2 linked regions of the Mus musculus genome follow. The protein of the gene in region 1 purifies or fractionates together with the protein of each later gene. This does not show direct contact. Links are inferred from orthologs where the notes say so. Each region holds a gene or a part of one and is shown on either strand. Other genes may lie near its edges. The genes, in order: Stk40 and Trib1.

The links.
Region 2: the proteins of Stk40 (region 1) and Trib1 purify together in Homo sapiens (affinity purification with mass spectrometry; 3 studies listed by BioGRID and IntAct, counting the BioPlex papers as one, with this or other methods). This does not show direct contact. The link is inferred for Mus musculus from reciprocal best matches to the Homo sapiens genes STK40 and TRIB1.

What each region holds. Positions count from the first base shown.
Region 1 is NC_000070.6:126,120,758-126,124,566, forward strand, and holds part of Stk40 (serine/threonine-protein kinase 40), read left to right. Parts: intron 1-2,958; coding exon of another isoform or gene 2,959-2,966; coding exon 2,967-3,078; intron 3,079-3,809. UniProt on the Homo sapiens protein: May be a negative regulator of NF-kappa-B and p53-mediated gene transcription.
Region 2 is NC_000081.6:59,647,013-59,650,921, reverse strand, and holds the start of Trib1 (tribbles homolog 1), read right to left. Parts: upstream 2,269-3,909; 5' UTR 1,760-2,268; coding exon 1,400-1,759; intron 1-1,399. UniProt on the Homo sapiens protein: Adapter protein involved in protein degradation by interacting with COP1 ubiquitin ligase. The COP1-binding motif is masked by autoinhibitory interactions with the protein kinase domain.

The sequences.
Region 1 (3,809 bases):
AACTGTCTCTTTGTTTCTTTCTTTCTGGTGTTGGCCAGAGCCTAAGTTTGCTTCTTCTGGTACTTTGGGCTCCTTACTCTTTCTCTTAAGTCCCCCTCCCCCACCAGGTGACTGCTTGCTGCTGGTTGACATCTATTTGGGTTGAAATAGCATGGTATTTCCTTCTCTTTTCTATTTCCTTTCCCTGCATAGCTGCTGTGTTTGCAGGTTGCCTGCCCTGGGGTTTAAATTTTAAAGAGGAGGGGCTGCCCATAAAGTGGAGGAACAACATGTGCCTTCTGGGATGCTCCAGGAGGAGAGCGAAAGGCGCTTGTATCCTGTGCCACTGTATTTGACATTTGCCATGGTGAGGACGGACACATGGCCTCGGACACACAAGGCAGTGCTGTGCCACGCCGCTCCATCCCAGCCCCTGGTTTTGGTTTGTTTGTTTTTGTTGTTATTTTTGTTTGTTCGGTTTTTCGAGATGAGGTCTGGCTGTCCTGGAACTCACTTCTATAGACCAGGCTGAACTCAGCTTAGTCCACTTGCCTCTGCCTCCCAAGTTCTGGGATTAAAGGTGTGCACCAAGCCTTGGGTTGTTTGCTTGCTTACTTGTTTTTACAATTTTAATAGGATATACTTCACATACCATAAACTTCTACCTAAGGAAAAGGGAAACTTGCAAAATGGCATCAGAGTGTGGTCCATATTTCTACAGTGATTTATATTACTTCTTATGAGAGTGAAAACCTATGAGACACAGAAGCCTGACTGGAGAGCAGCTGTCTAGGTGGTGAGGTTAGGTTCCTTGGTGTCTGTGTTGGCCCTCTTTTAAGTGTTGGTACAGAGGAACCCTGTCTCAGGAAAAAAAAATTATTTCTATATGAAAATGAAATTACAAGAGAAGTTGAAGCTCCTTGTCTCTGAGCCAGCCCCTTGGGTAATGGCCACGGCTACAGTCCTAACATTGCATGTTGCTGGACGTCTCGCCTGGCTTCTGTCTCACCTCCGACTCAGCAACATTTACTCTCCTGGGCTCTCCCAGGTCATGCTGCTTTCTCTGCCCACCCCTGTTAACTTTTCTCTGAGCTTCAGCTTGTACTGGGGCACCTTTGTGAGCTGTGTCTTCCTCCTCCGCCAGGGCTCTGTCTCCCCCAGAGGCTGGACTTGGAGAATAAGATGTGTTTCTGTCGTAAGACTGCTCCAAACCCCGGCTCCCTGTATTTGCTTGTTCTGAAGCTTAGAGGGAATGGATCTTCAGGAACGTCACAGCCCCACTGACGGGCAGACAGTGGCCCTCTCTCCCTTCTTATCACCCCAGTCTGTCTATCCATCCATCATTTCCTCCTTCCTTCCTTCCTTCCTTCCTTCCTTCCTTCCTTCCTTCCTTCCTTCCTTCCTTTCTTCCTTCCTAACCTCCCTCCCTCCCTCCCTCCATTCATTCAAGAAATAGTATCTTGGAACTAGAGAGATTGCTCAGTGGGTGAGAGCACTTGCTACTGACTCAGTTCTCAATACCACATAGTGGCCCACAACTAAGCTGTAGTTCCAGGGATCCAGTGCCCTCTTCCAGCCTCCACAGGTACCAGACACGCAGGCAAAATACCCATACTATTTAAAAATTTATATTCATTAAGCCAGGCAATGGTGGTACATACCTGTAATCCCAGCACTTGAGAGGAAAAAGCAGGTGGATCTCTGAGTTCAAGGCCAGCCTGATCAATAGAACAAGTTCCAGGACAGCCGTGACTACACAGAGAAATCCTGTATTAAAAAAACAAAGAAGAGGTCTAGAGAGATGGCTCAGCAGTCTGACTACACTTCAGAGGACCTGGACTTAAGTCCTAGCACCCACACGGCAGCTCACAACTGTCTATATTTCCAAGGTCTGACACCCTCACATAGACATACACGCAGGCAAAACATCAGTGCACATAAACAAACAAACAAGTAGAAAAAACAAAAAGTATTCATTTTAAAAAAACATTATTTCGCATTCAATACTTTCAAATGGTTTATTTTTAATTAAAAATAAACAAATTTGAGTTTGAGAGATGGCTCAGCAGTTAAGAGCACTGACTGCTCTTCCAGAGGTCCTGAGTTCAATTCCTAGCAACCACATGGTGGCTCACAACCATCTGTAATGAGATTGCATGCCCTCTTCTGGTGTGTCTGAAGATAGCTATAGTGTATTTATATATAATTAATAAATAAATCTTTTAAAAATAATAAACAAGCCGGGCGGTAGTGGCGCACGCCTTTAATCCCAGCACTTGGGAGACAGAGGCAGGCAAATTTCTGAGTTCGAGGCCAGCCTGGTCTACAAAGTGAATTCCAGGACAGCCAGGACTATACAGAGAAACCCTGTCTCGAAAAACAAAACAAAACAAAACAAAACAAAAATAAATAAAATAATAATAATAAAACAAATTCAAGGTCATCGTTGGCTGCATAGCAAACCTCAGGCCAGTGCTCCTCAGACTCCATGGGCAGGAAGGAAGTCCTAAGCATCATGTCTAAGGGGCCACTTCCCAGGGTCCACAGCCCATCACTTCTTGGAGATGGCCTAGGAGGAAGCACCTCCTCCTCACAGTCTGAGTATTGGGGGTGGGGGCCACTTTGAGAACAGCTACTCAGGGCTGGGGATGGATTGCCTACCCTGTTTTTGTAGAGGTTCTTCTTCAGCACCCACACAGAGTCCGTTGCCTCCCTCTGACACCTTTCAGCAGATTCCCCTCCCCTCCCTTCCTTGGCAACCAACTGTGTCTACTGCCTTCAAGGACATCTGCTGTTGGTGTGTGGTGACTCTCAAGTCAAGGAGTTGTGATTCTTTTGTCTTCGGGAGCCTTGGCTGCTCCTTCTGGTGGGGAGGTGGTGGCTGCAGCAGCCATGTGATGTATCCATAAGTTAGTCTGGGCTCGAGTCAGGAACACTGTTGATTTACTCAACAGAAAGGTTCTTTTCTGTCTTGTTTAGAACTGAGAATGAAGCGGAGAGCATCAGACAGAGGAGCTGGGGAGACGTCCGCCAACGCCAAGGCTCTAGGAACTGGCATTGCTGGAAATAACGCAAAGAGAGCAGGACCGTTCGTCCTGGGTAAGCTCTAGCCTTGGATTGTGGCCAGGGAACAGCAGCCAAGTCTCTGACCTACACACAACAGAGTGAGGTGCCCACCAGGGCTGTGGTCACTCCATGGCAAAAGTTGTCAATTTTTTGTCAGTACACCAGCTTTATAAGAGCCAGATTCTGACTTCCCTTCCCTGAGAATATGAACCTCAGAACATGGACAAGCTCACAGAAGCACATGGCTACATTAGAACACATGACTCGCCATGTAAGGCACTATTTGACTTTCTCGAATGAAATGACTGATTTCAGTGTTTTTGTATAGTATTTCCCTGAGCCTCCTGTATTTATTTCGTTTTAGAGAAGGGTATTTTAAGACAGGATCTATGTTGACCAGGCTGGCCTTGAAGTCACAGAGTTCTGCCTGCCTCTGCCTCTACCTCCCAAGTGCTAGGATTAGAGGCATACCCTGGACTTTTTGTTTGTTTGTTTGTTTTTTGTTTTTTGAGACAGGGTTTCTCTGTATAGCCCTGGCTGTCCTGGAACTCACTCTATAGACCAGGCTGACCTCGTACCCTGGGCTTCTTATAGAATAGTATAGAAATTGGTTGGATTGAATGTTTCTAGGAGGCCTAAGAGCAGCAGGGTATTCTTGATGGTATCTGAGGCCCAGCCAGTCCAGGCTGTTGATGGCCAAAGCTGCAGATAGTATGGGCTCTGGCACCAGGGCCTTAGTAGGACTTTTGTTTTAGGGCAGCCTT
Region 2 (3,909 bases), on another chromosome or scaffold:
AAAGCGGCCTTATGCAGCCTGCCTATGGCTGAGACTCAGGTGGAAGCAGCCTGTAGTTACCTTCTTACAGGAGAGGATAGGCACCTCTATAGGTCTTCTCTTTTTTCCTGTTTGTTTCCTCGACCCCCATCCACCCTGGTTGGCCCCCCTCCCCAGAACGGGTAGCAAATCCTCTAAGAAGCTGGCTGGTCTCTTTAAGGGCCTTTTGTTCAGCCCGGTTACTCATATCCTAGACGCAACTGGAAATGGTGACACACGGGCTGTCACCATCTGGATTCGGCTATTATCTGCTCAGAGGAACTGGAAGGGGTTGCACAATGACCCAGACCAACCCCACCTCTGAGGTGGCTGCTCTAGTACCAACTTGGGAAAAAAATATATATCTGCTGCCTTCTCCTCCCGCCCCATCCGTTTCTCTCCCAAAACTGTTCTCATCCACCAAGAAGAAAGAGTTTCTCTCTGTGCTTGACCACGCATCAGAGATTTCACGAGAGTGGACAGTAGGTGGCAGCAGCAAACGGAGAGGTGGGGCGCTCACGTTGGGGGGGGGGGGGGGCGGAGGGGGGCTTTCAGGTGAGTTGTTGGAAACCCAGATGCCACTTTTAACTGCAGGAGAATGAAAGGAGTCAGTGGGGCTCTCAATGGCCCAGAGATGGGGTGTCCGGCTCACGAAGAGCACACTGCGAAGCAGTCCTGGGCTACGCGCTCTCCCAGACCGGCCATCCTGTATCTAGTTGTACTCCTGTTAATGTTGCAATGAAAATCGCCGGCTCAAACTAAAGCAAGTGGAAGCGAGCCTCTGGAAGTTTTCCAATACTCCGATGCTGGCCAGAAGCCTTCCCACGCTTAAGACCACCCCATCCCAACACTTCCTGGGGTGGGCTGTATGCTGGTCCCAACAGGAGTTCAAGCCCAGAAACCCCTAGGTAAAAAGAAGCCCGACTTGGTCTATACAGAACCCATGCCGCGAGCCTCGCGCAAAGAGCTTGCCAGTTGCTCCAAGTCCCGAGGAGGCACACACTGCAGGGCGTCCTTCCAGGACAGGGGGAGGAGGGGGATGAGAGCAGGGCAATGGCATGGCCCTGGAACCCATTGCAATTCCAAACTTAAATGGAACGCCACGCGCTAGCAATACAGAGCGCCAAAGAAAAGAACAGAGATAAAAGAACTGAACCCTGCACTTCCTCTAGACCGCCTAACCCTCACCAAAAAACACTCCACAGGAAAGCACTCAACCTCCAAAAACACGAAGCTGACCAAAATACCCTCCTTATCCAACTAAACGCCCTTATCTGCTCTGCCAAACCCAAGCGCTGGCGGGACTGTGATCCCGGTGGGCCGGAACCTAGGCACTTCTGTGGACGATCCAGACCCGCAACCTCCGCCCCAGGATGCTTACCTTGCAGCGCAGCTCGCGGCCGGTGTGGATGCACAGTGCCCGGGACACATGCTCGCGCTCAGCTAGGGGTAGCAGCAGGTAGTCGGCGATTCGGCTGGGCCCGGGTGAGCTCACACAGCTGCCGCCGGTCCCCTGCGTGGAGGGCGGAGGCTGAGGGCTGCAGGGCGAGCCAGGGGGACTGAGGTAGTCGGGGGGACTCGAGCACTCAGAGAGGCGCGGACACTTGGCCGCCACTGCCCCCGCGTCGTCCGTGTCCAGCAGGCGTTTGGCCGGGGTTCCCCGGGCAGCCGGAAACAGTAGACCCGGACCGCGGGGCTGCGAGGCGCCGCTCAGGGCAAAACGCACGGGACCGACCCGCATCGCGGCCCTGGCCGGAGCGGCCCCGGCTTTGTAAATCCCTGGATCTGCGCTGTGACTTCTTCCAGTCGGCGGGATGGAGTTTGCAGATAGAGCTTGGATCGGTCCCCAAGAGGAGCCGTTCCAGGACGCTGGCGTTGTCCACCAGAACCACGTTGGCCACGCGTCCAAGGGTGGGAGGCCGGCTAAGGTCTCCAGACCCCCACAGGCACCAGGTCTGGGCGCCTCGTTGGCGGTGGCCGCCGCTATTGTTGCCGAGGCTGTGGATAGTCCGGGACGTGGAGACGGCCCGAGTTCCCGGGTGTTGAGCCTCGAGGACAGGATTCCACAGGCTCCTCGGCTTCTCCGAGCAAACGCACTTCCCAAAGCAATTAGTCTGGCGTAAAAGCCGGTACAACTTTTCCGCGCCGCTCGGAATCCTGCGCGCTCCTGGGCTCCAGGCGTGTGAGCGAGCGAGACGCGCTCCAGGAGAGAGAGAGAGAGTGACCGACTATGAGTGTGTGTGCCGCACTGATCCCGGCCAGTGCACTCCTTCTCCTTTTCCTCCACCTCCTCCGCCTCCCGGTGACTCACGCTGTATACACACACACACTCACAGCCCGGGCTGTGTAAACAGTTGGGAAGCCGGGTTGTGCAATGAGGTGGCTGCGACGACTCCGGCCCCGTCGCCCGGCTTGCAGTCACCGGAGCGGAGGGAGGAGACTAGGGGGGAGGGGAGGTGGAGTTGGAGGCTGGAACTGTAAGGGGTGGCTGGAGGCCTGGGGATGCTCCTGACCGCGCGCGCCGAGGCGCAGGTGGGAACGTCCTGGGACGCCTTGGGCGCGCGCACACGCCCCCCGGGTTGGGCTGGGCAGCAGGCTGCGCGCGCCCCACCGCAGGCCCGCGGGCCCGTAGCCCAGGGAGGGGGCGGAGGCAAAGCTCCCGTGACGTCAGGTTCCCGGGGAAGTGGGCGGGAGGGGCGGGGCAGCAGGGGCGAAACGACCGCTGATTGGTGCGCGCGCATCATTCACACAACACAATGGAGCACCGAGCTCCCGGCGGCCGCGCGCGCACCTCCTGGCTGCGCACCGGCAGCTGGCTGAGACCCAGTGGTCACGCCTTTATCCTAGTGGGTCCCCCCCTCCCCGCCGTTCTGCACTTTGGGGAGCTCCCGGTGGAGCTGTGGGCGCCGTCGAGTCGCGGCTGCAGCCGGAGGAAGGGGCGAGAGGAAAGGTGATGAATTCCATTATCAGTCATTCACCCCCACGCGGTAGTTCCGGGGAAGACCTGTGCGTGGTAGTGAATGTGGCTTTTTTTTTCTTCCCCTCTTTTCCTGCCCCCTCCCAACTCTAATCCCCAGCGTCTGTTCGCTTCCACAAATAGAACCTTCTGTTGGATGAAATAAAAGCAAACACTGGGCCTTCTGCTCTGCCTCCACCTCCACGCCCCTCCCGCGCCTGCCGCCCGCCCGGATTGCACGGAAATAGCCTCTCCAAGCTCCTGGGCCGCCCCTTCGCGGTGACTCGCCGAAAGAGCTTCCTGAGCTCCGGCCGGTGGGAAACAAAGGATGTGGGGAACTGGCGGAAGGGGCCCACGTGGCTGGCGCCAGATTCCTGTCCCCTCCCGCCTGCAATGCGCGCCCGAGGGTCTAGGGCGCCAGTGCGGCCAGGAGTATTGGATACTGGGGTACGGGTCATTCTATTCACTGCCAGGGATACCATCTGCACGCGGACAAGGTCGCATGTATACTTTCATATAGTTTGAGTTGTGTGCTCTTGAAACTGGCTGACCTTGCTCCCTGGAAACAGCTTGCAGTCACATTTTGTGTTGCTGGGTTTTGTTTGGTCCCCCCCCCCCCCACTTCTTTCGCAAACCAGGTCAGTTTGGAGTCTCTGGATCCTCACTTAGCATAGATGCCTATTATCAAAATCCTTTCTTGCAATTATGCTGAATAATTAATTTTCTAAAACCAGGTCAAACCCAAGAATAAATCCTTTTCATCATTAATTCTCCAGTCATTCAACAAACGCTAATTAAGCATCTCCAAGGGTTAGTTAGGCGCTGGGGATTAGGAGACTTAAATTGAGACAGTAATGATAATTGGCATCAGTTGTGGCCCAGGGGCGTGCGGGCTCCTTACTCTGATTATTTTGCATACGTTATGAACTTTAGTT